Elephas maximus indicus: one gene and its partner. The protein of the gene in region 1 purifies or fractionates together with the protein of each later gene. This does not show direct contact. Links are inferred from orthologs where the notes say so. Each region holds a gene or a part of one and is shown in the gene's direction. Other genes may lie near its edges. The genes, in order: INPP5K and GART.

Region 1 (16,042 bases):
AATTTGCATTAGTAAATTAAAGCAAGGCATTGAACTCTCAAGATACACAAGGATCTGCTTGAGATCCAAGGAGCTTTGCTCTCATAACATTGAATTCTGAGCCTCCCTGATTATTGAAAATTTATATAAATGGTCATTCTTTTGTTATTATTGAGCAGACATTCAGTGAGCAAAGTTTTGCCTTTGTAGAAATTTTATTTTTGAAAAAGGTTCAAACTTACAGAAAATTGGCAACAGTGGTGCAAAAAACTGTGTACCCCTTGGCCCAGAGACCTCATTCCTTTGTAGCAAAGGCTCCAACCCAGGACCACACACTGCAGTTCCTCCATTTTTCTTTGATATTCTTGAAGGTTATAAGCTTGTATAATGTCATCTTAGTTTGAGTTTGTCTGATATTTCCTCCTGATTCCACCCAGTTTGTGTATTTGAAGGCAGAATATCACAGATTTGGTGTTCTTTTCATTATACCCTATCTGTTTAGTTACCACTGATCTTAACTTGGTTCACTTGAAGCACAACAAGGTTTTCCAGGCTCATCTCAGTCTTTCCATAACCTAGCCCTAGAAATGCCCGTTTCTCCAAGCAGCCCTCATTCTTTTTAGTGGAAGGTGGGTGGTGTTTGGAAACCACCAAGATCTGGGTGCTAGGTATGCTCATTACTGTTGGGGTGTTGCTGACCCTGGTTCCTCTCAGTGGATAGTGCTAGGGAATCCTGATGTCTGTATTTATATCGATCTTATGTATATATTGTGTTCACACAAATGCCTCCAGTTCCAGTCTAACACCACAGGGTGAAGTCTTTGTCTTTTAGAAATGAGCCAATGCCCTTGTCCTTAACAGATTTCTTTCATGTAGGAAATTGTTGAATTTGTGAAACAATTGTTTAAACTTCATAAAATAATGTATCTATAGGCATGGAATGATTTAAGTTACAGGTGCAGTAATAATTTATAGATGCCATACAGGGAAGGAGATTTGAGGGGAATCTACAGGAGGCAGACATTCCAGGTGGAGCTAAGGGTCTGTTCAAAGATCTGGACCTAGGAAAACAGACTTTCCACTTTGGAGCAGAGGACCTTTGCTGGGGACCATGACAAGTGAGGCTTATAAGACTGATTAATTTTATGGCTCACCAGTGCCCTGTCTCCTGTAGATTCTGCAGGTCTAGGGCCCAAGAACCTACACGTATCCCAGGCAATTATTTTGATCAAATTTGAGGACACCCTGGCCTAAAAGATCAAGCGAAAGCATTTAATGTAATTAGGGTAATAGTTGTAAAAAAAAAAAAAAACCCTTTGCCATCAAGTCGATTCTGACTCATAAGGACTCTATAGGGTACAGCAGAGCTGCCCCAAAGGGTTTACAAGGCTGTAATCTCTACGGTAGCAGACTGCTACATCTTTTCTCCTGCTGAGCGGCTGGTGGGTCTGAACCGCCAGCTTTTCGGTTAGCAGCCAAGTGCTTAAACATTGTGCCACCAGGACTCCTTCATAGTTATCAAGAACCCAAAAAACAAACCAAACCCGTCTCATGAATTCCGAATCATAGTCACCCTATAGGTTAGAGTAGAACTGCTTCTTTATAGGGTTTCCAAGGAGCACCTGGTAGATTGAAACTGCCGACCTTTTGGTTAGCAGCCATAGCTCTTAACCACTACTCCACTGGGGTTGCCAAGTTATCGAGGTTATCAAGTCGGGTGGTGAATATTGGAACCTCTGTGGCAGGCAGAGAACATTGACCACGCACATGCCCTGTTTCTGCATGGAGTGACTGATGATAATAGCAGGGGTGGAGGGCCGATAGTCATGGGTTTTTTTTTTTTTTTAATTAATTTTTATTAAGCTTCAAGTGAACATTTACCGTTGCAATCAGTCTGTCACATGTAGGTTTACATACATCTTACTCCCTTCTCCCACTTGTTCTCCCCCTATTGAGTCAGCCCTTTCAGTCTAGTCATGGGTTTGAGATGTGGCAGGCAGCAAAATTTTTAAAACTTTTTCCAGTAGAGAACCACTGATACTAAGACAAAATCTTTGCAAAATGTGGCAGTGTTAAAGTTTCAGGGACTAGCACTCTGAAGAGGGCTGCCACTTAAAATTCCAGCTTCTTCAGAGCTTGTGTGCACATCCCTTTGGAGTGTCTGGAACAAAGCAATAACAACAGAATAATAAATAGCATATATTGAGTGTATACGCCATGCCAGGCACTCTAAGTACGCTGCCTGCGTATCTTGATTATTCTTCACTGCGACCGCATGATGTCTGTGCGATTATTACTCCTATTTTATAGTTGTAGAAACTGAGGCTTAGAGAGCAGCAGAGGAACTTGCCCAAGGTCACATGATTAGTGATGGAGCCAGAATACCACCCAGGCACTTTGCTTCTACAGGTCACGTTCCCATGTGTTCAGTTTGCTGAATGCATCAAGAGTGAAAGTAGAGCAGGAAGCTATTGGGTATTGAAGAAACCTCTAATGGGAAGTTAAAACACACAAATTCATAGACAGTCTGCAAATAGAACCATAATTTTTTGAAGTTGGAAAGGATTTTAGAGAAATCAACCTCCCCAGCACCCCAAGAACTTGTGCCCACTTCTGCTAGGGAGGTGCCAGTGCCCACTCAGAGGAGCCCACCCTGTTTTCCAGCAGCCTAGCACTTCTGTGAAGCTGCGATCTAGCCCCTGCCCTTTCCATTGTCAAGTCCTTGTGACGCACTCTGATTCCCCATTGTGGCCACCTGATACTTCTGGCAGATTAACTGGACGAGGCCCCTAGGCAGAGCTTGGGAGGGGGACTTGCTGGTCCCTCTGCCTGGATCACTCCTTCCCCCGAGAGTCATTGGCTTTGCTTCCTCAGGTTTCTCCTCAACTGTCACTAACCAGAGAAGACTTCCATAGCCAGCTTACAAAATAGCACTTGCCCACGGCCATTCTCATCCCCAGCAGCCCTTCGCCCCACCTGACATGTATGTTTGTTCTCCCTTCACCCTGCCCCAGAAAGTAAGCTCCCTGGGAAGAGGCTTTGTCTGTTTTGGTTCACTGCTGAATCCCCAGCTCGGGAACAGTTCCTGCACAGAAGAGATGCTTCATAAATATGTGTTAAAGAAAAAGGGGGGCTTAAGACCTAACCTCAACCCTGGGAAGCTGGAGAGGGAGGCAGATTATAAACGGTGCGGCCTTTGCTGTGGCGGATGTGTTCTGAATCCGGTCCTTCCAGTTTCTTGCTTCGTGCACAAAAAAATGCTTTACCATATCTGTTGGCAGGATCGAGGGAAGGTGGGATGTGTTTGTAGTTGTAGCAGCAAGAGCCTTCAGTTTTCTCTGCTTCTTCTGTTCCAGATGAGACAGAAGGACCCAGTGAAAGGAATGACAGCGGATGACTAGAGCCACCCTCCCCCTTCTGCACTGTATGTACCGAATTTCTCACTGTACAACGTCATGAAACCTAAAATCTGTTTGGGCCCTCAAGGCCTCAGCAACTCAGCGTGGAGCCAGAAACCTGCTTCATTCCTCATCCTTCCCTCTAGTAATGATGATGACTGCCATGCTAAACAGCTCTCAGGCTTCAGGGCCCATTGAGAGCTTATGGATGTTAGGATATTTCAGGGACATGTTGTTTTACAAAGAACTGCCTAGATGGACATAGGGTGGTGAGAAGGGGAGGTGGGGAGGCATGCACATGGAATCCAAGTTTATTTATAGTAATTACTCTTCTCCTCTCAAAATCTGAGCCATTTTAAGTTGAAGCTGGCACTCCCTATACTCCCTGTGCCAGAGCGGGTTCCTAGTTCCCAAATGCTGGCATTCCCCGCCCTGCCCTTGGGAAACCTGCTGGCCAGACAGCTTTTCCTAGCACCCATTGTTGTGTCTGGTGCTTCATTTCCTCCTCCTTTATACCCCTGATCCCATACTAAACAGCCATCCTCATGAGAGGTGGCATCTTTTCAATGCCAGGAGAGTCTTTCTGCCCAGGCCACAGGACCAGGATGGGGTATCCCTTGTTCTACCTTGTTACACATCCTTCCATTGACTCCTCACTGCTGGTTCCCCAGTGCCCTACACACCTCCAGACTTGCAGTTGCCAGCAGCACAGTGTGGTCTTGGCCATAGAATGAAAAACCTGGCCCTGCTCCCCATCAAGCTCTGAGAGAAAGTTATTTTATCAAATCAGAACTGGCTAGCCTCCAGCACTCAGGAGCTTTGGGGCCTCACCAGCAGTGCTTCACACCTCTGCTCTCCTCTCCTCTCCCTGCCCCTTGAAGCAGCCGCTGGGAGCCAGGAGGGTAGGATTAAGGAGATTGTTGCAGTGCCGGTTTCTCAGCCACTGTTTGGGCTTTAGTGCCCTCCCTTTCCACCCTCAGCCCTCCACTGACTGGCATCTTTCTTCCTTTTGAAATTCTCCCATTAAAGGTGATTTACAGTGTGTTTCTATTTCCCCCTGTTGCTTCCTTAATAATTGTATTTTTCTTCTAGTTTTGCAAGACAGTGGTCAACAGGAAGGCCCAGCAGCTCTACCCTCCCGAGTGACAGGCCACCTTCGGACGCGCCTTTCTGTGCCCATTCTTCAGGCAACTTTCGATCCCTTACTGTAGCTAACCCTAGATGCCCCTTACTGTTGTGAACAAATAGACCATCTGGTATTATGAAGGCCGTGTGTGCGGGAGCCTGCTCCTCTGAGAGATGTGGCATGTATGCTGCTGTATTTACAGCTCCTCCCTCTCTCTTCATCGTGTTCTGACCCATTTCTCTGTGTGTCCACCCCCCCCCCCAATTTTATTTCCAAGTGACATTTTTAAGTCTTTCAAAATAGCTGCCTTTTGTGATGTGGTGATTTAAATGATTTAAGTCTGTTTTCAACCTTGGGGTAAACTGAGGTATTTTGCTTCCTGGGCAGATCTTTGCAATTTTGAGTGCTCACCTGGGGAGAGGGGATGAGTTAGAAATACAGCGTTTTCCCCCCCAGTTCCACAGAATAACAGAGTGGCGTCATAACTCGGATATCTATTCCCGGTAATCCATTGTTAGAGTGCTCTAGGCACCAAGGAGGCACCCAAGGCCCAGCCAGTCTCTTTAAGAAAATTTAACAAATACAAATAACCCCAGTGCCAGGCATTGCACCTCTGGCCACTATTTCTTAGAAATACCTATGGCTTCTCAACCCTCTTGTTGCCCACTCTGTCTGAATCTCTGTGCAGAGCCTGTCATATGCCCCAGCCAACTCTCCACCTAGAGAGCCTTGCCCTGTTTGGCCTTTAGAATTGAGTCTGCCCCGTATATACTCATCATTCTGACTCCCTGAGGAGCTCTGTATGTCAGTGCTCCTCTTCCCTTTTGGGCTGGTGCTGCCACTCAGCAATAATCCTCTTTTCTCTGTGCTTTCTCAGATCCCTGTCCTCTGTCTTTGAGGCTGATTAGGGCTTGAGTCCTGATCTTTTCATGCTGCACAAAATGAGCATGCAAAAAGCTTCCTTCCCAGCAAATCATGTTCCCACTAGTCTCCAGGGTTGCTGGAAAGGAAATTGGGGATCAGGGACTCAGCTTGTCTTGCCCCTATGCTGAGTTCTGTCCTAGATAATCAAATGCAAGTAGTGGTTGTAGTACAGAACTCTAGCACAGTAGGCTAGTGAGGAAGTCCAGGCTCCAGGTGAATGGAACCTGCTAAGGGGCTCACAGTTCCCTGTGATTTGGCAGAATTGGAGTATGCCTACGTGGTGGGAGAATCTGAGACAGCTATGGTGTCACCTGACATTTCTCTCCCAAATCTGGTGAAGTCTGCTGGCCTGAGTGTGCCATCATCCAGGCCCACACTAGCCTGGATGCAACTGCTAATAAAAGAGATAGAGTCTCCATGAAGGGAGTGAGGAGTTGGGGGGGGGAGGGATAATTTATCCTTATGTTTTTTGTCAGTTTGCTTTGCCTTACTCATTTCTAAGTGCAATAAGGGAGTATCTCACAGGATTGCACCTGTGACACCCTGATGGATGCTTCCCTGTGGCCCTTCTGGGGCAAGGGTGGACACTCAGACCCCTTAGTGTGGCTAGCTCTGACCTTCATTGAGGCCCCTTGGGGACCAGGAGATGTCCTATTACAGACACCTTCCTCTTGATTAGTCTCTTCACCTTGTGGAGTCTGTAGTAATGGATCTGGAGCATTCCAGTTGGTTATTAGCGTCCCAACTGCTAGTAGCATTTATTCGACTGGGGAAGTTGGAGAAGAGGCATTCCTACTGGAGAAAAATGTAAATGTTTTCCTACAAGCTGTTTTAGCTCTTGCTTTTATTTGTGCATAAAGGCTTCCCTTTTTCAGTCATTAACTAGGTGAAGTCTAGATGTGGGTTATCCTAAGAGAAACAAAACGATATTCTAAGCAGACAGTTGTTTTTGTAATTTGAGGATCAGCAGATGTCTTCTTCCTTCAGCTGAGAGCCACACATATCACTTCAGCTTTAGTGGGGGCTTTTTCTTTAGCTGCCTTTTCTCTGGCTCTTCTCACCTTCACCTGTTGCCCCAGTTTAATCTGGAATAAAAGCATCTACATGAGCTGAGCTAGAATTTCCTGAGGTCAGCTTGGATCTTGGGTTCCTACTCACATAAATACGGAAAAGGCAGGTCCCTGGTCCACTTCATCCTCATGGGTGGTGTTGCTGCTGGGTAACAGTGGTCAACCTCTTTTACATACCCCCTTCCCTCTTCACCCATCTCCCAAACCAACTAGCACTCAGAGGGGCTTAGGATGAAGGGCTCAGCTCCAGGGGTACTACCCGAGGATGTGCCACACCCCTTCAGACCAGCTGGTTCCATTAGATTTCCAGGGACATAGTCCTGTCTGGAAGCAGCAGTGCCTCTGTAGAAGGGCTACTGGGCTCTGGCCTTCTCACAGAGAGAGGTCGGAGACAGGGTCAGTATTGTGGGCACATGTATACCTTCCCGAGTTCGTCTCTTACAGTCCCTGCTGGGACCTTCCCCCCGCCCTCCGACTTGTTTTGGTTGGTTCCTAGTGCTACTTCTTTTACAAAATATACTTTGTAGAATTGATTAGATTACCTTGTTTATTTAATGTGAGTTTGTGCCTTTTTGTCTCAATCTTCCAATACAGGTATATTGGGGAAAAAAAGCAGTCTAATAAAATTCTAGACAGAGCTCTCTGGAGTCCAGCTTATTGATGATGTCCTTATGCACATTTTACAACTTAGATATCCTCAAACTCTTGCTCATGACCCCTATTTTACCAGAGAAGGATTAGGGAAGGTTACAAGATGTGTCTGAAAATTTGTGCAGGTGGATTTCTGTAAGTTAAAACATTGCCTTATCAATTTACATATGCAAACATTGCATATCTGAGTGTAACTTAGCTGTTCTGTACTGGTAGAATGCCTTTGTCTCCCCTCCTCTTCACATCTCCCTCTCTACCAGGCAAAGCATTTAAAGTAGGAGTTCTTAACCTGGCTTCGGGGTCTATGAACCTCCTGAGGGTTGCTTGTAAAATTGTTTGTTTTTCTGGGGAGAGTCGTGTCTCTCATGAGATCCTCAAAGGAATCCCCTGCCTCCCCCTCCACCCCCCCCAAAAAAGGAAAAGAACCAAGTGATTTGACGGAAATTATAGTAGATCTTTGGCAAAATAGTCTTAATTTTATATGTCTGGTCTTAGAGGTGGTGACTTGTTTTTCATTCATTGATGGTTAATTTTCTAAGAGTCCAGGAGCCCCAAAATGTCCCACGTGCAAGAAGTAACCCAATGAGTTTCAAAAGCGTAAAACACTTGAAAGTGGGAGTAGAGCATGAGAACTAAGAATGGAGGAGCTTGATCAACGTGATAACTGGGGAAACTGCCTGTAGTTGATGGGGAAGATACTGGGCTGCAGGTAAGACAGTGGCTAGACTACCTCGCCGCCCTCATCATTTAGGTCTCTGGGCGTTGGGAAACGGGAGGAAAGACAGCACAGAGGTCAGCGACCTCAGATTTCATCTTTAGCGAAAGGGACCACCAGCCTCGGAAAAGCCAACGTGGGCAGCAGCGGCTCGAGGATTCTCGTGCGGGCGCGGCGGCGGCTTCCGCCGGAAGACGATGCCGGCCGGCCTGGCGCACGGCGTTCCGGGCGCTGCGGACCGCCGAGAGATGTGTTCCGGGCGGCGGCGTCTACCACACACCGGTATGCCGGGTGGGGCAGTGTTGCGTCTTGCTCTGATGACAGATGGACATGCCTCTTACGTCCCATGATCCCCTAAGGCCCTCACCCCGCAGCCTTTCACCGTTTCGCGCTGGTCGGAGAGTCCCGCCTCCTTCACGGAGCCGCACCACCCAGAGCCCTCGGTGCGCTCAAGACCCGCCTCTTACGGAAGCCGAGGCGGAGGTTCTGAATCCGGAAGAAAAACACTCGAGCCGGAGTGAGTTTTCCGGGGTCTGACGCCGGAGAGGCTGGTCGCGCCAGGACGGGGTAGGATTGGGGAAACGGGAGCCTGCCGCGCCACTGCCTATGGACGATGGCGGCCGTGGACCTGCTGAAACCGACCGAGCCGAGAGGCAGGAAGCTCAGGTGAGGCAGACTGCTGTAGGCGTGCCTGCTCTGGGCGGGGTCGCTCCCCCAGACCCTGTCGGGGCAGTGGATCTGGGGGCGGACCCAGGCCGAGAGGGAAGGGGACGGTCCTACTGGTTGCTTCTGGTTCAGAGGCTGCCTGACCCATGGGCGGCTTTCCGTCCAACTGTTTCTCTGATAACTGTCTCTCTCCCAAACCCTCCCAGGCCATTGTTGAGAGGGCTGTGTTGGACACGAGTCCCGTGCCCACTCTAAACTCAGGCTTCCGAGTTCATTCTCACTGGGGCGCCCCAAGCAGGTGTCCCAGGTGGCCTTTGGAGGAGGCAGCCGTCTTGGGCTGTTTGAACTTAAAGACATAACAAGGCATCTCCTTTCAGCCCTAGAGCAGAAATCGTGCCCTAACTTTCGATCAGCGCATACATCATGGGGTCTGTCTAATCTGCTTGTGACCTCCTGAAATGTGCAGATTTAGATAAAATCCTTTAGTAAAGTAATGCAGCCTAGTCCCGTGCCTCTTCTCACCGGGGAACAACGCTAATCACTCACTTGGTGCAGGTCACAATGCAAGGATTTGCTGCTGAATCGTCGGACCTGAGAACTGGGGCAGGAAATCCCAAGCTGTGCTCTTGTTTCCACTTAGAAGCAGAATCCTGAGAATACAAGGAGCCTTTGAGTTAAAGGGCAACCCTTCTTAATCTTCTGCTGGACAGCAGGGGGAGATGGTAAACAAATGAAGCACTTACGCCGGGCAGAGTGCCTGGGGAGGTAGTTTGTGTTTTGCTTTTTGTGTTCATAGGGAGGGGCAGGAAGTTGCTTTAAGAAGGCTAACGGTTTTTTCAAGTTTTGCTTTTTAGAACATGGACCTTCAAGAACAGGGTTTTGCGGAAAAGAGGTGTTTTGTGATATCCTGCCCTTTTCTCCCACCTCTCCACCCCCCAGTACCCAGTCCCATTCTAGGTCTTCAGTTGCTGCAGGTTCTCCTCATGGTGTGGACACTCTAGAACTCATGGGGCTTGATGGCTATTCTCGGTCTCTGCAGGATTTGCAGCCCCTGTCTGCTCTGTACTCAGCACAGCCTGGGGCTTCCTTGGTGTGTTGCTGTGACAATTCGGTTAAAGAGATCACCAATTCTGCCTTCTCCTGAGCCTCTGATGCGATCCAGTGTCATTGAGAGTTGCTGACTTAGTGCTGTTGCTTCCCAAGGGTTCGTATGAAGTTGAGGTGGAGAATGTTACCCAGATGATGACTTTTCCCAAAGGAGGGTAGACTCTTTAGAGAGATGTTGAGAAACCTGTTACTTGGTTTTTCCTTAGGCCCCATGCAGTACTTGGCAGAATTGGTTGTGCTCCAAGTATCTGCTAGGAAGCAGTGAGGAAGGGAATATATGTATGTTGTTGCTGTGCTTTTTTAAATTTTTCTGTCTTTGTAGTGTCGAGGCCTCTCACAGGTGAAAATAGAGCCTCCAGGATCTTCCTGGTGGTTTCAGAAATCCTTAGGTTGAGAAAGTGAGGGTGGGCAGTTGCTGCCTGAGCCATGATTGCTGAGGTTTGAATGGCTCGTAGAGCTGATGGAATCAACAAATTCCATCTCTTCCTGCAAATCCCACCTCTTCCCATGCCTGACCCAGAAACCTTGGGCCCCCTTTGATAGCTCTACTAGTGCCAGCAGCCCCAGTGCTCCCAGGTGTGAGCAGCTGTAGGCCTGTGTGGAGGAGTTATTCAGAGTGAGGGTTTCTTGCCTCAAGAGACAGAGGTAAAAAACAACAAAAGCTTGTTCATTGCCCCTATTCCCACTGCTCGATACAGAATCTCACCTTCTTCTTTATAAGTGCACTGGATTGTGGTGCAGCATTAACAGGCCTGCACCCCTTCCCATTTCCTGGACAAGGTCTTATCCTCCTTCTTCCATGACTTCCCTTTGCATCCCCTCCACAGCATACACGTTGTGACGTGGAACGTGGCCTCTGCAGCACCCCCACTAGACCTCAATGACCTTCTTCAGCTGAACAACCAGAACCTGAATCTGGACATATATATTATTGGGTAGGTGTCTGCAGGGCCCCTTCACCCACCCCTAGATCTGAGGTCAGGTGAGCCCAACCATTCACAAGTTGTCCCTGTGGGGAACCGCTGTAACCTGTCCTCCCACACTCTGGAGTCTGAAGGCTAGAAGCTTTCAGCCTGCATCGGGTCAGGTCCATGTCTCTTGTCCTGGGTCAGCAATGACAAGGGGATGGAGACCCACAGCCAGGGGAGGAAGAGACCATGGTCATCAGAACCCAGGACTTAAAAGTCTAGTGAGGGTAGGGCTAAGTGTGGCAGAAGCAGTACCCTCCAGGCCAGGGGTAGAGCCTCTGACCTGGGGTGGTCAGTTTGCAGGAAACGAACTGTGGGATCAGGAGCCTTCTTTATGATACTGCCTTTGAAGACCCATGGAGCAGTTTCTTCATGGATGTGCTTTCCCCTCTGAACTTCGTCAAGGTAACTTACAAGTTCATTGGTGATAGGGAAATGTGCCCCACCACTTGTCACTAACCCCCAGTCATTTGGTCTGATGTGTTCCTCTTATTCCCGCTCAGGTTTTCATGCTGCTTCACATTTATTTAGAGATTTAAATCTTGGTTGCATTTGGCTCCACAAGGCTCCTGCCTGCCTCGTGGCTTTCCAGAGCAGCTGGAACTGAGTGAGGCCCAAGGGGCTAGTCTAATACCTTGATATTTTTCAGGTTCGGAGAATTCCTAGGGGAAGTGCAGCAAAGCGTGTGAACACCGTAATACCTGCCCTACCCCTAGCCTCCAGTCTCTGCTCACACCTAGCCTGAAATCTCTGAGTGTGATAATAATTGTTACCATTTATCAAACTTACTTTGTGTTAAGCATTGTAAGTAAGCACTTTATATACTTTATGTAAAAATCTTAACAACCGTCTTGAAATAGGGATATTTTACAGATAAAACCAAGGTTCAGAGATCACATGCCCAAGGCCACACAAGCTATCTGGAATTTGAATCTCTCTTTCAAACTTCGTAACCTGTGTTCTTAACCACTGTGCTTTATAGCTATACTCCTGAGCTTTAAGGCTGGCAGGTATCCCATGGCTAGCCTGCTGGTGGCAGAGGGTGTCCTCCCGTCATAGGGGACATATACCTCGATTTCTCAGGGCCCCAAGGTTAGGGAAAGGGAGATAGGTGTGGAGGAAAAGGTTCTCAGGCTGAGGGACAAGTATACTTTGGAAATATTTGGATCATAGGCAAATGAATCCACACGAAGGCTATAGGCTGGCAGCTCTTTGTTTCTGCCCTGCACACCAGAGCAATGAAACACGCTCCCATTTAATGCAGCTACTAGGGTGCTTCTTGGAAACACCACAGTTCCCTGTTCCCTTCCCTAGGTGGGCTTCTTCTGGCCCACACAGGATGATTCCATTACACTAGTTGGCCTGAGTACAAAGAGGAAGGAGGGAAGACAAGCCTTGGTCCTAGAAACTACCAGCCCCTGAGCACTTGGTTTTCTCCAAATCAAACTCAGAGACCTCTTCCTGTGGATTTGGAGCTAGATCTTCTGGGGAGGGCAAAACTCCTTCTCTCTCACCACCTACTCCCCTCCCAGGGCTGCAGGCCTTGTGCTTTGGCTGACTGGGAGGGGACCGACAGAATGGAACTGAGCCAAGGAAATTAGCTCAGCTGTGGCAGGGATACAACCCATTCCATCCTTGCAGCCTCCTGAGTTTAGAGGGCCAGCCTCAGGTCCTGGGACCCAGAGCGAATGCCTCTCCTTCCTCCAGCCAAGAATCAGGGTGGAAAGGAGAGCCCTGTTTGCAGCCTGTTCTTTGAGTGGGGATTTACCGAACGTAGGTTGAGAAGCTAGAGGCTGACCCCTTTGCCTGCTCCTGGACTCCCAGCCACCTCCGTCCAATCCCTTCCCTAGCTCTTCCTCCTTCATTTCCTTTTACTGGGACTTCCGCTAGAAGTTGCCTTGCCTTTCCGCTAGCCCCGCCCTTTCTCCCAGTCTGATCTTGCCCAGCCGCAACCCCATCCTCCATCCTCCATCCCTGTTCCTTAACAGAGTGGACTGGTCCCTTTTCGGTGGAGTTGAGTAGCCCACACCTGCTCTATGGGTGAGGATTAAGCTCAAAACTCTTCCTGAGTCTCGATCAGTTCCCTACCTCTGATCCTGACCCTGGGAGCCGGTTCCTCATATTCCACCCCTTCTTCCACTTCCCTTGTCTTAGAAGCCTGTGAATGGGAGGGAGAGAAGGCAGGAGGAGGGGCTTAGGATAAATTTTTTAGTAACCTCACCCAACCACAGGTTCTGCCACCCCCCCACTCAGTCTTGGGTTTGGGGTTCCCCCTGCTTTGACTGCTCCACTGTGCCAGGACTCCCTGGCCTGTGGGATCATGTTGCATAATTCCTGGAAGGCCCCAGTACACGCTTCCCACCCGGGGATTTCCTCCTTGGCCTCTATACCTCGTGCTCCGGAAACAGCTACTCGGGTGGTGGGTGTAGACAGCCTGAGCCTAAGAAGGAGGGTCACTGGCTATGGCCTTTCCCCAGCCCACCCCCATGGCCTCAGACGGTGGGAATTTGGGCTGTCCTCCTCCTCTGATGCCGCTTGCCAGGTCATCCTGCTAGTTCCTTAACCTCCTTGAGCCTCAGTTCCCTCATCTGTGAAACATTACAATGATTCCTACAGGCTTGGCCTGGGAAGTTAAATGAAATAATGCGTATAAAACGTTTCAGTAGATATTAGCTATTCTCACCAACCTGCAAACACACATCCTCTGTACTCACTGTCACCCACTCTGCGTTACCATCATGAATATCCACCAGCCCACAGCCTATCGTTATTTGTGAGGGGAGCATTTACTTAAAGTTGTTTTTTGTTTTTTTTTTTTTAAGTATAATGTGTACAGGAAAGTGTGCAGATATTAAGTGTACAGTTTGATGGATTTTTACATACGTACACACCCACATTACCACCAGCCAAATCAAGATACAGAATATTTCCAGCACCTAGAAGTTTCTTTCATGTTCCTTCCCTGTGTTTACTTTGAAGAGTCCTTGAACCAAAAAATAACAGCTACCAGTTAATCCCCTTTAAGATCTATGCAGTAGTACTATCTCTGCTCATCAGTGAGAAAATAGACTGAGAAATACGTTCAGTATCAAATACTAAGTCAGAGCCGGGATTTGAACCCGGATCGTGCTAACTTCAAAGCCTCCTTAGCACGCTCCTGAATAGCCACATTTCTCCTTGAGGCCCTGCCAGCTCAAGTGGCAGCCCAGAGTACCTGGAGGATCTCAGAAGGGCAGTGGTGAGAGGCGCGCAGTAGACGTGCTTGGGCGAGGAATGAAGAGTAATGCCCTGCTGTTGGCAGGGTGTCCTGGCCCACTCTCCCCTCCTCCCCACGCCCAGGAGGTGAAACTGAAACCTGCTCAGTTCCCAGAATGCGTGATCTGGCAGATGAGGAGAGGAAAGGAGTGAAACACGGAGGCTGAAACTGGGATAGCATCGACCCTGGGCCAGGGCACTGTGTGTGTCTCAGGGCTCTGTGGCACCTGCAGTGCAGGGCCTGGCAGGGAGGCACTCAGCCTGTCAGTTCAGTGAACGACCATTGCTCCCGCTCTTCTGCAGGTCTCCTGTGTCCGCATGCAGGGGCTCCTCTTACTGGTCTTTGCCAAGCATCAGCATTTGCCCTTTATCCAGATTCTCTCTACCAAATCCACCCCCACTGGCCTCTTTGGATACTGGGTAAGGACTGAGCTGTTGTCTGAGTCACAAGCCGGGAAGGCCTCCTGTGCCTGGGCTGGGAAGGGCTGGATGCATTAGAGCCAGGCAAATAGAAAAAAGGGGGAAATGAACCTTTGCACTGTCTCCAGGCCATTGCCCTGCAAGCTCATTCCTGAGACCTTAGTCTGGGTGAGCTGAGCTCTGAATGAGAGATTACCCTGCAAAGCTGAGTGTCTGGCCCTTGGAGGGCCTAGGGGAGGTGAGATTACCTCCCCTCGGGTCTAGGATGGGGAAAGAAAGGTGTGTCCAACCCAGAGCAGCTTCCCACTCTTCTGCCCACCTGTCCTACCAGGGGAACAAAGGGGGCATCAACATCTGCCTGAAGCTTTACGGCTATTATGTCAGCATCATCAACTGCCACCTGCCCCCACACCTGGCCAACAATGACCAGCGGCTAGAGCACTTTGACCGGATCCTAGAGATGCAGAATTTTGAAGAACATGATATCCCCAACATCCTGGACCACGAGTGAGCGCAGAGCTGCCGATTTCCACCTCTGCCCTCTCCCCTACGCCAACCCAGTTTAGCATCCTCTCCCCAGTCACCGCTCCCCAGCCAGAGTCAGCTTGTGCTCTGTCTCCCAGCCCCTTCCTGATGCCACGTCTTCCCCTCTGACCCAGCTTTGCCTGACTGGGCTCTGGGATCCCTTTCCCCTTCCTCTAGTCCATCTGCCCTGGCTAGAAACCATGAACGCTTCTGAACATCCCAGGTCAAGATTCTTGTGGCTCCTGAGGTCACCTGAAGGGCTGTTTCTGAGCCTTCCCTGGTGGCCAATTAAGGGAGAGCTGCAGTTTGCTCCATATTTGCCACTTGCCCCTCTGGCTGGTCTCTTCGGCTTGAATGGTGGTACAGGAACCATGAGAACAGTCCATTTGGGCCCCTGCCCTGTCTCCACCTGATGCTCTTCTAACATCTGGCTTCTCACCTGCCCCCTGGAGCTTTCCACTCTCCAGCAGCCCCTGGGTTGAGCAGGTCTGAGCAGCCTGTTACTCCTCCCTTTTCTGAATTCATCACAAACCCTCAGGCTGCCCTCCTTTCTTTCTGAAGCCTCATTCTCTGGTTCGGAGACATGAACTTTCGAATCGAGGACTTTGGGTTGCACTTTGTTCGAGAATCCATAAAAAACCGGTGCTACGGTGAACTGTGGGAGAAGGACCAGGTATGGAGTGAGGGGAGGGTCCCGGGGGGTGGTCTGAGCCCGTGATCTGACAGGACGGGTGGGGAGAGTGGCTCAGATTCCCCAGGGTTTGTTTGCCTTTCCCAGCCTCAGAAGTCCCCATTCCTGGGCAGGGAAGAGTCTACCAGGCTTTGCACCTGGAGGTAGGACAGCCAGTACTGTCAGTACCTGGCCTTCACCTGCAGGAGCTAGGGTACAGCTGCTGGGTGTGTTTAGAATAGGGAGTGAGAAGGCCTTTGGCCTGTCATGGCCCTGCACCATGCTTCAGCCCACTTGCATCCCTGCCTCCTCATCTCTGCCTCCCTCCTTTGAGCAGCCAACTGCCAAGTTCCTGAGCTGTTAAATACCCACCTTGTCATGTCATCTTTCCCATCCCAGGCTTGCTTGCCTCCTGAAGGACAAGAAAGTACCCCTATGGGGGACCCTGGCTACCCCAGCTTTCTTCCCCTCTGACACGTGCCTGCTAGTGGCTCCTAGAGAGGTGGAATTCAAAACATGGTCCCTATAGTCCAGGACTGGGAAATGGCAGGCAGCTGCCTCCCCCGGG
Region 2 (16,105 bases), on another chromosome or scaffold:
TTCAGGAGGCAATGCTGGCAACTCAGTAGGCCATGTACTTTCAGTTGTTAATGCTGACTGCTCAGTGGTTAATGCAGGGCCCTCTGGTGGTTCCTCAGGAGGCAGTGGTGGTGTCATTGGTGGCTCCTCAGGTGGCAATGGAGGCATTGTAGGGGGTTCCTCAGGAGGCAAAGGTGGCACCATATATGCCTCCGTGTATGTATCAGTATAAGAATCAGTGTAAGAATCGGCCGCCATAGACATCATTGAACGATCAGCAGTGTAAGATGACATCATAGATCGGTCAGCTGCAGAGTACGATGACATCATAGACCGGTCAGCAGCAGAGTATGACGACATCATAGACCGGTCAGCACCCATGGACATCATAGATCGGTCCATGGGAGACATCATGGAGCGCTCATAAGCTGACATCATAGAGCGCTCATAAGCTGACATCATTGAGCGTTCAGCCATAGGAGACATCATAGAGCGCTCGTAGGCTGACATCATAGAGCGCTCATAAGCTGACATCATAGAACGCTCAGCCATAGGGGACATCATAGACCGCTCATAGGACATCATAGAGCGTTCGTAAGATGACATCATGGAACGTTCTGCAGCATAGGACATCATCATAGAACGTCTAGATGCTAACATCAGGGGTCTAGGTGCTAACCTATATGGCCTAGTTGCTATCCTATATGACCTAGGTGCTATCCTATAAGGTCTAGGTGACATTCTATAGGGATCAGGAGTTAGTCTGTAGGGATCATGGCCTAATCTATACGGGTCCTGTCCTAACCTATAGGCATCATGACCTAACCGATAAGGGTCATGTCCTAACCTGTAGGGATCTTGGGCTAATCTGTAAGGATCCTGAGCTAACCTATAGGCATCAGGAGATTTTGAATCCAACATAGCAGAATCTTGGGTACTAGATGCTAACATCTGGGCATCCATGGTACCAGATGCTAGCATCTGGGCATCCATGGTGCCGGAAGCTAACATTTGAGAGTCCATAGTACCAGATGCTAACATCTGAGAATCCATAGAGCTAGTTGCTAACATCTGGGAGTCCATGGTGCTGGTTGCTAGCATCTGGGAGTCCATAGAGCTAGTTGCTAACATCTGGGAGTCCATAGAGCTAGTCGCTAACATCTGGGAATCCATGGAGCTGGTCGCTAGCATCTGGGAGTCCATGGAGCTGGTCGCTAACATCTGGGAGTCCATGGAGCTGGTTGCTAACATCTGGGAGTCCATAGAGCTGGTTGCTAACATTTGGGAGTCCATGGAGCTGGTTGCTAACATCTGGGAGTCCATGGAGCTAGTTGCTAACATTTGGGAGTCCATGGTGCTAGAGGCTAACATCTGGGAGTCCATGGTGTTGGACGCTAACATCTGGGAGTCCATGGTGTTGGACGCTAACATCTGGGAGTCCATGGTGTTGGATGCTAACATATGGGTCTCCATGGTGTTAGAAGCTAACATATGGGATTCTTGGGCCATCAAGGGGTCCACTCCTACTGTTACAGAAGTTTCCCCCACTAATGTAGTAGGCAGCTCCTGTGCTACCGTATTATAGGATTCCAACGCTGTCGTCGAGGGCACCTCCAGGGACTGCGACACGGTCATCGTTGACAGCTCCGATGTTGTCACCACAGACTGAACAGAAATCTCCAGCGCCACAGTTGCCACAGGCTGCCCAGGCAACTCTGGTGCCCCAGGCTGCCCGGGCAACTCCAGCACCCCTGTTGCCAGGGGCTGCCCCAAAAGCTCCAGTGCTCCAGCTGCCCCAGACTGCCCCGAGAACTCCAGTGCCCCCGCTGCCATGAGCTGCCCAGACAACTCTAGTGCCCCAGTTGCCACAGGCTGCCCCGACAACTCCAGCGCCCTAGTTGCCGAAGGCAGCCCTGGCAGCTCTGGCACCCCAGTCACCGAAGACTGCCCCGGCAACTCCAGCGCTGTCGTTGCCACTGGCTGTCCTGGCAACTCCAGCACCATCGCTGCCTCGGGCTGCCTCAGCAACCCTGTTGCTGTTGTCACCTCAGCCTGCCCAGGGTGTTCCATCGTTGTCATCCCCAAAGGCTGCTCCAACTCAGTCGTCGTCACAGGTTGTTCGGTCAACTCCATTGCTACTGTCACCACAGGCTGCCCTGGCAACTCTACTGCCGCTGTCACCACAGGCAGCCCTGGCAACTCCTGTGCCATCACAGGTGGCTCTGGCACCTCCTGTGGTGGCTCCAGCCCCACAGATGATGCTGGGAGCCCTGGCAATTCCTGCAACAACTGTGGCACTGGTGTCACAGAGGGCCCCGGCAACTCAGACACTACAGTCGCAGGGGGCCCTGGCAACTCAGGCACTGGGGTAGAAGGGGGCCCTGGCAACTCTGGCACCGGGGTAGCAGAAAGCCCAGGTAACTCCAGCGCTGGAGTCACAGAGGGCCCCTGCATCTCCGGCATGGAGGTCGCAGGTGGCCCCTGCAACTCCATCACTGAAGCCACCGACGACTCCGGCAGCTCCAACGCCGTGGCCTTAGGCAGCTCCAGCAACTCCTGCGGTCTTGTGATGGATGAATCTGCACTCTCCAATGGTACTTCTACAGGCTGCTCTGTCAATCTTAGTACGTCAGGTACAGATGACTCTGGAAAGCCCGTTGTTGTCGATGTGCTTGGCTCAGGGTGCACCTCAGCAGATGTCTCTGAGGATTCCACGAGGGTTTCTGCTGACTCTAGCATTTTTGCTACTGGAGGCTCTACCAACACGATCTTTGATGGCTCTGGAGATGTGCTCTCCAAAGGTTTCAGCACAGGAGTCATCTGATACTCCATCGACATTGTTACAACCGGCTCAGGTGACTTCAGCACTAGTGCTGGGGTAGGCACTGGTGCTGCTGGAAAGCAATCCAGAATCTTTGCCGTGGATGGTTCCAGCATTACTGCCATAGAATGCTCTGACTGCTCTGAGATGACAGATGTAGACTCAACTTGCAATTCTGCAGTCTTTGTAGCTGGCTTCAGAGTTTCAAAGTTGTGTGGCTCTGATACCTCCATTGCAACTACAGGAGGTTCTAGCACAACTGCAGGGGAATCACCGGTCTCAGATAAGCCAAGTGCTCTTACAGGATGCTCCAGTCCCATCACTGAAGGCTCAGAATCAAACTTCAAAAAGGAATCTGATTCTATATCTATGTTCCCATCATGATGAGATTTTGGCTTTGACTCAGGTTCTTCTGGCTGTCTTTTATATTTTTTCTCCTTTTCTTTCTTCTTTTTCTTTTTTTTATTTTTGTGCTTTTTATGCTTCTTTGACTTTTTGCTAGGAATTTCATCAGTAGGATCTGTTTGTACAGATACACATCTACTTTTTCTGGAAGCCTCCTTCAAGTCTGAAATTAAGAGAAATTAAAATTGTCAGACATCCCCCAAAATAGATTTAGATAAATGACATAAACCAAGATTTACATTCCATGTTAAAACACCATTGTATGACACCTCGTTATACTCACAAGGCACGTATTTATATGTTTATACCCACATTTACCATATGTTCACACTCCTGTGTGCACTAATGAGATACAAAGTTGCCATATCAACTATTTTTTGTAAATCGACTAATTTGAGGACTAAAGCTGAGATTAAAAATATTAGTTTATTCCAAAAACTTATCTAGAAGTAAGACGTGTTTTACCAAATTCTACTAAAATTTTCTCCAGCTCACAAATTCCAGAAAATTACTTTTAAACGACTCTTTCATATTACTGTTAGAACTGCTCTACCAAGCCAACCAATCACTGCCATCAAGCCGATTTCAACTCACAGCAACCCCATAGGGTTTCCAAGGCTGTAAATTTTTACAGAAACAGACTGCCACATCTTTCTCCCACAGCGCCTCCGGTGGTTTCAAACCTCCAACCTTTCAGTTAGCAGTCAGTTGCTTTAACCACTAAGCCACCAATGCTCCTTAGAATTTCTATAGTAATAGCTAAATTAAATAATCTTTTGATGAAAAGTTTTACACAGCAAAACATACGCCAAATCAACAAATTCTACACATACAATTCCGTGGCACTGATTACATTCTTAAAGTTGTGTAATCATTCTCACTATCCTTTTTCCAAATTATTCCTCCACCATTAACATAAGCTCACTGCCCTCAAAGCTTCTCATCTAACCTTTTCAGTTGCTACTGTCAATCTGACCACACACAATACTTTAAAAGAGAACAATCAAACCATTTTTGCAATTACTTTATAACCCCTTCTTATATAGGAAGCAACATGGCACCGGCACTGGAACAGACTGCATGCTTTAGGTCCCGCATCTACCACTTATTAGACAAATAGTCTCAGCCAAATGACTCTCTGTGCCTCCCAGAGTTAGATGACTGAGTTAAAACAGAGGGACACTGAACAAAGCCTGGCACACAGTAAGCACTCAGCAAATGTAAGCTCTAAGCTGATATTACTATTGTCATACAGTATACAAATATCTGAATGAGAAATGTAATCAATACAATCCTCAAATTTTATCTTATCGCACCCATCTGTTACGTTCCAATTTAAAAAAAAAAAAAAAAACTTCCCCCCAATACTCTTCTGAAATTACTAACAATTTTTTTTCCTTTTTTTTTTTTTTTAAATAAAGTGGTTTTGGGGAGAAAATTCTTACAGCCTTTAACATCTAATTTAAGAGCATTTCAATTTGCATACGCTAAAGTATGTGGTTTATAATTCGTTTTATAAGCAGATGGGATTTAATCTAATGCCAATATCAAATTATATAAATCAGTGATCCCAGAAAAAGCTGATCAGAAATCCAGGCCATTAAGACTACAGAAAAAAATAAATCAATACATGAAAAGACACACGCCAAAGCAAAAGTAGTCATTTTCTACCAAATACTGTTTATTTTATGACACCAAATGTTAAGTTAGCTAGTATGTACTTCCAGAGAGCGACGATTCTAACCATGGCTAAAATCTATGCTTTTTAAACCATATTCCATGTCAAAAAGAAGACCAAGCACATCACAATTCCAAGACTAAATGAAGATACTGTTTTTGTCGTTGATCATAAATCCTTCACTTCATCAATTATTTATTTCTTACTAAAAAAAAAAAAAAATCCAAACAATGATTCCCTCCCCAATTCATTGCACTTTTAAGTAGGATGGATGCAAAAACAAAACAAGCTCTAACCAAACCAAACCAAACCCACTGCCATCGAGTCAATGCCAATTCATAGCGACCCTACAGAACAGACTAGAACTGCCCCATACTTTCCAAGGAGCGCCTGCCAGATTCGAACTGCTATCCTCTTGGTTAGCAGCCATAGCACTTAACCACTACACCACCAGGGTTTCCAAAACAAGCTCTAAGCTTGGGCTTTAAAGTAAAACTTTCCAGGGTAAATTTTAAAAGTCACTACTGGTTTGATCCAGGCTCCTGTACCTTTCAAAACAGGTATTTATACGAGTGTTTTATGAAAACCTACATTCAAAATCCTGGCACTGAGGTATTACAAGACTGAATTAAATAAAAGTCACATTCCACCAGCAAAGCCAATAAGTGCATCAATGCTCATGTTTCAGTACAACTGCATTTGCAAAGAAATATTTAAACAAGAAAGTCTGCGACGAATCAATTAAACAAAAACTTAAATGTACTGAAGTTTTATAGCTAGTAGACATTTTAAATACCTTGCAGTCAAAATATAATACTATTAACATTCAGATTTCAAAAAAAAAAAAAAAAACCTTGAAACAAAATTTTTGAGATAGCTTATTATCTCTAACTTACCTGGTTTATATCGTAGTTCTGTATCTAAAACCCCAGAAAGTACTTCCTCTATCTTTTGCACTATTTCTTCATTTGGTAGGCTCCTGGCAGAAGCAGCTGAATCACCTGCCTGGTTTCCTTCAATAGGTGTACTGGTTTCACCATTCAGCTGGCCTTCATTCCTCCCACTTGATAAGAGAAGTTACCAAAACTCATTAACATTTTTAATATACCATACAATAAAATCAACACTCATAGTTCAACTAATTAAAATAATTTTATAGCAAATTCTTCATAGAATTCACCCCTTTTATGGTTCGTTCAGGTGCTATTTCCAGTAACAGTGCTGCCTTAACACTATCTACTTACCTGGTACATTTTCATTTTTACACATTTACTTATTAAAGTTCTCAGAACTGCAAAAGTAAATTTACCTTTTTTTTTTTTAAATAAAATACTCCCAAAATTTTTAATTGAGGCTTTTGGGTTACACAGGTTATTTCCCTCAAGTACAAAAACTATTAAGAGCCAAATCACAAATTCAAAGAAAAATATATGACCTAGCGTTAGAGTAGAAACTATGGGTACAATCAAGCTATGCCTGTGCATAGATCACGATTACCTCAATAATATCCCAGAACACAAAAATTAGCCACAGACACATTAGGTAAAAAAGAATATAACATAACTTGTAGCCTCAGATCAGGTTTAGACTGCTAAAAGAATATCACAAAGCGTAAGAAGAAAAATACATGCAGGAAGTTTTAACCCAGTTATAAAAAAATCCCAGTACCAAAAAATTTTATGATATTTAAAAAAAACTCACAAAACAAGCAATAATTTATTATACCAAGAAAAAATGAGTGGGTAGTCTAACATATTTTCAATCTACAGGGCCAGAGAATATTGACAGATATAAGAACATATCATTTACAGTTGTTTTTTTTTACTACTATCGTATAAATTAACAAAAATGTTTTCGAAAAACCATATAATTTCAACAGCTCAATTCTACCTAACTGAAAACAACAATTATGCTCAATACCTGATAAAGGTCTCAATGGTCAAAAAATGAAAATACTCACTAGATAAATCTTAATAGGAAATATTCAGTTTTCTAATACAACGAATCATGTAAAAACTAACACTTAACTACTAATTAGGTGTCACTCTTCTACATTTTTAACTAATTTAATCCTAACAAACCTCTATAATCATGCCATTACTCTCATTTGGGGAGGAAAATGAGGCACAGAGAGAACAAGAAACTTGGCTGGATGTCACACAGCTACTTAGAAATGAAGCTGGTATTCATAAGCAGAGCATCCTCTTAACCACCAACTACATACAATACTTATGTTACTTATCTTAAATATCTAAAGGTCAGCCTCATTACCCACACTGATGTACCTAAGAGCAGACGGAGAAAAAACCTTAATGAAATGGCAAATAATCCAAAATATTTTTAAATTGATAACACATTACATGTTGCTTATGGTGAAGCTACGTATCTTGTATTTCGACAGTAATAAATTGCTTTCTCTAATACTCTTTTTAGACTTTGAGTGCTTCTTTTTACTTTTCCCAAACACTTATTATGTAACTCTCCCTTCTAAAGGACCCCAGATTGAAAAATCAGAAAAGTACACTAAAAAAAGTTCAATCTATGAGGAAATTATCATGATTGAACCTTATCTCTCAATTTTTATGACTGCTACCAGGATGCAAACTGAAATTACTAAAAAACAATGAAAATATCAAACAACCTAGCTATCCAACGATACATTCCCACAATGGAATTCTACACAGCCATGAACAATGTTGCCAAAGATTACCGAGATTGTGGTATGACAAACTTGTTTATATATTAAGTGAAAACCAAAACAAAGAAAAACAATCCCATTGCACATAACATATATATAATTACAGATCTGTATCTGCACAGGAAAATAAAGGGGCATAACACCAATAATTACACGGGTAGTTTTCATTTTCTTTCTTTTAAATATTCTACAATAATATTTATTTTCTAATAAAAAACTGATTTTTGTTACTTACAAAAGCAAAACTTACACACTAAGCAAACACACGACTTTCTGCATGCCACTATTAAAAAGCTTTCAGGGAAATTACATTCCCTTTGCTCAAGTTTTCTTTCATTATCCTAAAAACATTAGCATATAATTTTTTTAAAAAACCATATAATGAGCAGATACATTTCCCATCTAAAAAACAATACATCTGCAAAAATAACACTTTGGACAATTTTAGCAATATTACTCCATTGCCCCAATAATCTCATGTTAATTCGGACACTTAATTTACAATCACGCTTTTATTTTCAAGTTTACTCACTGCTCATACGCTCTACTTTTAACACACAACTAGCAAAAACATTCGAACTCAAATATCTGACTTAAGCTTTCTTTCCTATCTCTACACTTGAAAATAGTATTTTACACAAAGCAAAAATATTAAGACAACCACTGAACAACAACACGACCCACAGTACTTTCCTCTCTGAGTAAACAACTGTTTCTTTGGAAGTCACTTCCCTTTCTATTTGCGTGGAATCAAGCCTAAACTCCAGAACATGTATCAGCGACAGTAAAAGTAGCGGGTTGGTCAAATATGTCAATTGGGGCACGAGTGGCAAGAAAAAGCAAACTACACACATAAGCCCACTTTCCACTTGTTAAAATTAAAAAATGACTCATACCCCAAAGAGCCCTACCATCCTCACCTCAAATATTTTTACAAAATACCTAACTAATTTCAGCTACTTTCATTTCAGTCTCATCAGAATGTCGACGGACGGAAATCATAAGACGCTGGGGCCCGAATAATCCAATTAACGAATGCTCATTCCCAAACCGTCTGAAGATTACAAAAACAAAGCGGGCTGAAGATCACCCAAGAAATGGCCGTTGGAGACCCTCTCCGGTCAGCGGCACCGGCCGGCCAGCTCGGCCGAGAGGGGGAGGGGAGCGGCGGAGGCGGAGCCGAGGGGCCTAGGCCCGGCCGCCGCGGACAAGCCGGCCTGCGAGGCGTTCAGGCCTAGGGGGTGGCCGGCCGGGAGAGAAGCGCCAGCATCGTAACTCGGCCCGAATGAGGGAGCCCGGGTCACCGCGGAAAGGGCCAAGTTCCTCGCAGGGAAGCAGAGCGCGGAGGGGGGAGGGGAAGCCGGAAAATGGATCCCAGGCCCAGGCGGGGCTGTAGCGGGGCCCGAGCCGAGGAACGACGGCTTCTCTGAAGAAAAGCCCCAGGAAAAGCTACAATGGGCCCTAACGGACCCTTGGGACGAGAACAGTCTGGGAATCGTTTACCTGGAAAGTTCCTGTTGAATTTCCCGGAATTTGCTGACCACGAAAGACCTAAAAATCTGCTCGATGTTGGTCGCCATGGCGTCCGCTCCGTTCTCTCAGCTCCTCCTCGCTAGTCCTCCAGGCTCCCAGCATGCCTCGGGAGGCGGCGCTGCGGCCAGTTCCGTCTCTCCGCTTCTTGATTGGCTCCTGTAAGAGCGATGGCACAGGCACGCTTTGCCGTCGAGCCAATCAGTGAGCACGGTTCCACTTTCCTCCGCTGTTCCTGAGCGGCTGGGGTAGAGCTGCTGACGTTTGCGCCGCGCACGGCTCAGTCCGCCATGTTAGTGTCTGACGCAGGCGCCATTACAGGAGAAACCTCTCCCGAGGCGACTGTGTCCGCTTATCAGTCCCCAACATTGTTTTGGGGGGGGGCGGGGCCGGAGAAAGGGGTTAATAGGTTTATTTAGCGACTAAATGCCCGAGATTAAATGCTATGAAAAAGGGGGAAATGTTTTGACATGGGGCCTACAGGCGTCCCCGTGTGGCGCCAAGTTCTGTTCGGTCAGGGAGACGCATCCAGGAAAGCACGGGCCAGCCCGCGCCCCTATTGTGAGAATGCGGAGAACACGCTTTCACCCCGCCTGTCCCATTGCAGCCTATCATCGACCTCAATCTTAGCCAGAGGCCGGAGGTCCTGAGCGACCGGTTCTCAAAGCCGGGCGCGTCACGAGACTTTGCGCTTTGGCTGCTCAGTGCGGACCCTCGCTAGCAGCGCCCCCTCCTCAGAGCTGGGAGGCTCTCGGGCTGCAGCGGCGACGTTACGTGGCGCCGGTGTTAGTGTCACATTCGGAACGTGCGCCGCTTGACAGCTTTGCTCAAGAGCAGGCTCTGGCCGCGCCCGGGGGCGGGAACCACACTGGATTACCTCGCCGCGGGGACCGAGCGCAGAGCAGGCCAATGAGGCGGCGGCGCCCGCCCGGGGCGGGGAGGAGCGCGGGCGGCGGGAGGGTGCGCGTCGGATCCGGCCCGGCTGACTTCCGCCGCGGCGGTCCGGCTCGGAGCGCGCCGACGTGAGTTCGAGTCGGAGCGCGGCCGCCAGCTCGGTGCGTGAGCAAGCCGCGGCCTTGAGAGAAAGCACGTTTGTGCTTGGTGTGGCTGCTCGGTGTCGGGTGTGGCCGTCGGGATTTTCGTCTTTGTTTCCCAATGTGGGGGGTGGAGGTTGGCCACGTGCTCTTCCCTTGCTCTTACCTGGGGCTTACGTTGGCTTTATCACCTTTCCTGCTTTCTGTGGTGTCAGGGCTTTAACTTTCTTGTCTATTTATGTTTTCTTAGGCCCAAGACTTAAGCTGTTGTGCCCGTTTTATGGTGTTTTGTTTCTATGCACCCATTGTCTGCAGCAGATTAATTAGGTCCGCTTTTGTAATTGGTTTCTGTTTTTATTATTCAGCAAAGGGTTGGAAATAGTTTTACCCGGCTTTCTTGTTCTGGTTATAAGTTGCTCGTTTTAAATATAAGGCGACTGAGGCCCGAGGAGGGTAGTTAAGTTACTCAGGGGCTCCCAGCTAATGAAAGGCAGAGTCTCAACCAAAACCCAGGCCTCCGAACCACCCTGATGTAGATCGTTTCGGGCTAAGTGATGCTGTTTCGTAATTAACTGTTAAAAAGTAAAAATTGTTGCTGTCGAGTCGATTCCAACTCACAGCGACCCTATAGGACAGAGTGGAACTGTCCCATAGGGTTTGCAAGGAGTGGCTGGTGGATTTGAACTGCCGACCTTTCTGTTAGCAGCCGAGCTCTTGACCGCTCCACCAGGGCTCCTGATCTATTCCTTCACTGCACCTGTTATTCCAGGAAAATGCAGTCCTTTATCTGGATTTAAGGATAAGTTTATCTCAGATATTTCAGTCCATGCATTTTCCTTGAAAATACCTCTTATGCCCTCCTAGTGCAGTCGTTTCTCTGTTTATGAATCTCAATTTTTTATTCAAAAATGAATCCCAGGGTTCATTTGCAAATCGTGGTTTCTAAAAGATGTGCACTCTAAAATATCAACCGTGGTTTTCTTTATGCAGCGTGTGTTTTTCTTCAGAGTTCCTGCTTCACAGACAACCATGGCAGCCCGAGTGCTTGTCCTTGGCAATGGAGGAAGGGAACATACTCTGGCCTGGAAACTTGCCCAGTCTCATCATGTCAAACAAGTGTTGGTCGCCCCAGGAAATGCAGGCACTGCCTGCTCCGAAAAGATTTCAAATGCTGGTAATCGTGTTTTAAAGTGGGAAATAGTAGTTATGGTTTGTGATACGCTGTCAGCCACCTCTGGCCATAGATTGCTATTCAGATGTTTTTGTTTTGTCAGCCTTAAAAGTTACGTGGTAATTTGAATATCTGCATGTGTAGTAAGCCTAAGGTATTCTATTCTTCATGATGTGACATTTTCTTCTCTTAGGTTACCTTAAACCCATATTTTATAAAACACGTTCATCGAAAAAGTAACAAGTACTTAATAGTAGATTAGAAGCATTTCGATGTCTATTTTTGGAAATGAAAAGTTGAGCAGTTCTCTGAAAATGTAAATCCTGGTAATTCTAATTCCATAATAGATCTCAACCCTTATCCCTTCCACTGATAAAAATGATCAGTTCACACACTACGTTAAACTCTTTGGCAGCTTCCCATGGCAACTAGAATAAAGCTCAAACCCTTTATTGTGTCTTACAAAGCCTTTTGTGATCTGGCTTCCTTCTGCCTTTCCAGCCTTTTCTTTTATGTCCCTTTTTTCTCTTTTCACTGTGCTTCATCCATGCTCTCCTGCCAGTTTCCCAAACAGAGCTCTCTTGGACTCAGCATTTGTTCCCGTCATTCGGGCCTCAAATGTTACCTCAGAGAGACCTTTCCTGAAGTTTCTAACTACAGCAAGTTTCCACCCCGTCTCATTTGTTTTCTGTCATGAGCCACTGTTTATTTTTACTCTTTCCTTCTGTATTGTCTGTCTTTTCTCCACCCACCCCCAACCCACCCACTAGAATGTAAGCTGCGTAAGGACAAGGAACTTTTCTATCTGATTTTGCATCCTGTCCACACTGCCTAAGTACTCTATGTGGCACGTACTAAGAAAAAAACAACGAAGAAAATGCATGCTTCCCTGGGGTTTTAGCTCTTGGGGTGAGGTGCAGTGCTGAATCTGTTTACTGGAGAACTGGTACACTTTATTAAAACATGATACCCATCAGAGCCTCCTAAGATTGTCATAAGGCTGCTAGCACTGGCAGCTGCCGAGGTTAGATGTGTACTCTCGCTTTTACTGAGCACATGCTGATGTAGTTGGCTCTACTCAGCACAATTATACATGGAGCTCTTAACCCAGGGTACACGGTACTCCATCCCTACCTGAGTCAAGCAGTTCCTGTGGGTTGAGAACTCATGACTTTTTCTGGATATGTACCTTAGGCATCGCAGATACTACCTCTTGCCCCATCCCATATAGGTATGTGCGGAGTCACTGAGGCTTCAGCCAACTGAAGAATGGTAGTTTAGTTAGAGTGAGGCAGAGAGCGTCTGTGGGACCCAGGCCTGGTACGTGGCCAGTGCTACTGCTAGTTACTTAGAGCTGCATCAGAAAAGAAAATTTACCTGGTCTCTAGGTTGAAGAGGCGAACTGGGTCTTAACTAAAATCGTCCATCAGTTCTTAGCCTAAATGTCTCTGCCTCAGAGAGAACCATCATTATAACTGAAAACAGCCTCCCAATTCATCTCATATCACATTTGTGCAATCTGTTTATACCCAGTAGTTTCTCGTTTAGATGTTAGTTACCTGGCTTTGCCACAGTGGAACGTAAACATCGTAAGTGTAGATGCCCTGTTTATGTTAATATCTTAGCCCCAGTGTTTACGATACTATCTAGCACGTGTTTGTTAGCTGCCCAGAGAGTCAGCCCCTGACTCATGGCAGTCCGTGCACAACAGAACAAAATGGTGCCTGGTCCTGCACCATCCCCATGATTGGTCACAGATCAAACCACTGTGATGCATAGTTTTCGTTGGCTGATTTTCAGAAGTAGATCGCCAGACCCTTCTTCCTAGTTCGTCTGAGTCTGGAAGACTAAACACGTAGCACATGTCCTGTGCCATCGAGTTGATTACAAGTCATAACAACTCTATAGAATGGAGTAGAACTGCCACATAGGGTTTCCTAGGCTGTAACCTTTACAGGGGAGCCCTGGTGGCGCAGTGGAGCTTGGCAGCTAACCAGAAGGTTGGCAGTTCTGAATCTACCAGCTGCTCCTTGGAAATCCTATGGGGCAGTTCTGCTCTGTCCTGTAGGGTCACTGTGAGTCAGAATCGACTTGAAAGCAATGGGTGTGGTTTTTGTTAACCCTTACCGGAGCAGGTCGCCAGGTCTTTTCTCCCACGGAGCAGCTGGGGGGTTCCAACGGCCAACCTTTCAGTTAGCATCCAAGCACTTAATTATTGCACTGCCAGAGTTCCTACCTAGCACATAGTGGGTTCTTGATAAATCTTAACTGAATGACATTAAAAGACCAGTTCCAAGTATGCTCTGTGATAATACTTTGTTTGCTGTGTAGTCAACACTGGTGATGTGAACACCACAATCAAGAGAGATAAATCTTAACTGAATGACATTAAAAGACCAGTTCCAAGTATGTTCTGTGATAATACTTTGTTTGCTATGTAGTCGACACTGGTGATGTGAACACCGCGATCAAGAGAGCACTTTACAGCTCTTTTGTAGGTTAGCTGGTATTTTCTTCTAGCTGGCTACAGTGATGGCAGAAAACTGAGCTTCGTTGGTTAGCCCGATGCTCTCTGTTCTGAATTTCTCACAGTGAGACTCTATAACAACAAGACCCTCAGGTAACAAGCATACCAAAAGACAGTACTTGGTTTTTAGCCTTACACTTAATTAAACAAAAAGTGCTTGTGAATGACGTGGGCTGTTTTGTTTGTTTCCCTGACAGCCATCTCCGTCAGCGATCACACCGCCCTTGCTCAGTTCTGCAAAGATGAGAAAATAGAATTCGTGGTTGTTGGACCAGAGGCGCCTCTGGCTGCTGGTAAAGTTTGTGTCTGTTTGTTGTTGCAGCATGTACAGTGTCTACGGGAGGTTTAAGATCTTCTACTCTGGCTCACGTTCGCAGATGAGGACGTCTAATACAGTGTCACGTTGGGAAAGAAATTTCACTCTTCTGAAATTTACGCATCCTAGATCTTTTCTCAGACAGTAACGAGATGAGTGCAAGGTCAGATTTGTAACCCTAGGGAACGTTTTGTGTGTGCCAGTGGTCTCCTGACTCTTAGCCAACTTTGGGTACTGTCACACATATATAAGGTAGATAAAAGTGGGCTGGGTTCAGTCCTCGGTCTCATTTCATTCTGCTCTATTCTGGCATCCATATAATAAGTTCTGTAATTGTATATAACGACGTTTGCTGAACTTGAGTCACGTGTTAGTAACGTTATCATTTATATTTATTAGACGACTTGAAAAACATAGCTGTTCATCTGCTTTGTCCAGATGAGCCTGGAAATGGAAACTTGGTTTAAATCCTACTTTGTCTTCAGTGTGAAAAGCCCCTGGAGAGGACTTGGTTCACTTAAGGCTCCTCGTTTCCTCAACAGGAGTTGTTGGTAACCTGACATCTGCAGGTGTGCGATGCTTTGGCCCCACAGCAGAAGCGGCTCAGTTAGAGTCCAGCAAAAGATTTGCCAAAGAGTTTATGGATCAACATGGAATCCCAACTGCAAAATGGAGAGCTTTCACCAAACCTGAAGAAGCCTGCAGCTTTATCATGAGGTAGATCGCGGGCTGCCTAGGAAGGGCAGTTGTTTTGTTGTGAGATTTAAATGCATGGATCACTTTTATGTTCAAAATGTAATGGTACGTGCTTATGCTGAGTCAGAAATTTAGAGTATGGTTATGAAAAAAAAGAAGTTCACAGTAAATATTGGGTAGGTCACCTTTTACTGATATCAGAATAAAATGGGATCCTACACCTATATTAAACTCTGGCGGCATAGTGGTTAGGAGCTACGGCTGCTGAACAAAAAGGTTGGGAGTTCAAATCCAGCAGGTGCTCCTTGGAAGCTCTGGTGGAGTTCTCTGTCCTATAGGGTCACTATGAGACGGAATCAACTTGGCAGCAATGGGTTTGGGTGTTTTTTGGTTCACGTGTATTTATACGATCTCGTGACCTTGCAGAAAGATGATTTTCCGATTAGGAGCCCTGGTGGCACAGTGATTAAGAGCTATGGCCAAAAGGTCAGCAGTTCGAATCCACCGGCCGCTCCTTGGAAACCCAATGGGGCAGTTCTCTGTCCTATAGTACCTCTGTGAGTCGGAATTCACGCTACAGTAATGAGTAATTAGTGAGTCTTTCCTAGAGACGAAGTCCCTCCCGCCCTGCAGTACTGTGCTCTTTTCACAGCCAGATTGACAAACAGCAGTGTTTTCAACATAAAGGGCATTGATTTTTTTGTCATAAATAATTAACCAGGGTGACGAATTATCGTTTGGTCTGTTGCCATCACTCCAGCTCTAAATCTTAAAGGCAAACATCCTTTGTTCTCTAATGTGGAAAACATTGAGCAATTAGTGAATGTTGGCAGACACATTCTTTTGCCCCCCCCCTTTTTTTTCTGACACGTCTTCCTGAGACTTGGTGTGTTTTTCTTTCATTTGAATCAATTTCATTCCTTATGATGATTCTATAGGGTTTCTCAGACACTGAATATGATTATTTAGTAGTAGCCAGATGCCCTGGTTACGTCTTTCCAGATCCCCAGCCCCACTCAACAGAAGAAGCTACCAGCAGCAGCTTTATATGTGGACTTCCAGAAATGATCTGTGTCTACATCCTTGTATTGGTCTTAATATAACCACGTTTTCTAAGTGAATAAGCATAGGGTTTGCTACTTTGTAATTTAAAGACCTTTCCATATTTCCTCTATTAAAAAAAAAAAAAAAACCTACTGCTGTCCAGTCGATTTTCATCCACTCTATACATCTGTTTTATTCTTACGAAG

Evidence for each region.
Region 2: the proteins of INPP5K (region 1) and GART purify together in Homo sapiens (co-immunoprecipitation; 3 studies listed by BioGRID and IntAct, counting the BioPlex papers as one, with this or other methods). This does not show direct contact. The link is inferred for Elephas maximus indicus from reciprocal best matches to the Homo sapiens genes INPP5K and GART.

What each region holds. Positions count from the first base shown.
Region 1 is NC_064837.1:20,170,701-20,186,742, forward strand, and holds the start of INPP5K (inositol polyphosphate 5-phosphatase K), read left to right. Parts: upstream 1-8,194; 5' UTR 8,195-8,476; coding exon 8,477-8,529; intron 8,530-8,535; exon of another isoform or gene 8,536-9,733; intron 9,734-10,463; coding exon 10,464-10,571; intron 10,572-10,900; coding exon 10,901-11,009; intron 11,010-14,162; coding exon 14,163-14,279; intron 14,280-14,610; coding exon 14,611-14,786; intron 14,787-15,365; coding exon 15,366-15,477; intron 15,478-16,042. Other genes in the region: PITPNA (phosphatidylinositol transfer protein alpha isoform), read left to right, coding at 3,336-3,380. UniProt on the Homo sapiens protein: Inositol 5-phosphatase which acts on inositol 1,4,5-trisphosphate, inositol 1,3,4,5-tetrakisphosphate, phosphatidylinositol 4,5-bisphosphate and phosphatidylinositol 3,4,5-trisphosphate.
Region 2 is NC_064836.1:28,044,463-28,060,567, forward strand, and holds the start of GART (trifunctional purine biosynthetic protein adenosine-3), read left to right. Parts: upstream 1-10,057; 5' UTR 10,058-10,166; intron 10,167-11,135; 5' UTR 11,136-11,174; coding exon 11,175-11,319; intron 11,320-14,040; coding exon 14,041-14,136; intron 14,137-14,701; coding exon 14,702-14,876; intron 14,877-16,105. Other genes in the region: protein SON, read right to left, coding at 1-3,368, 5,780-5,946, 9,085-9,161. UniProt on the Homo sapiens protein: Trifunctional enzyme that catalyzes three distinct reactions as part of the 'de novo' inosine monophosphate biosynthetic pathway.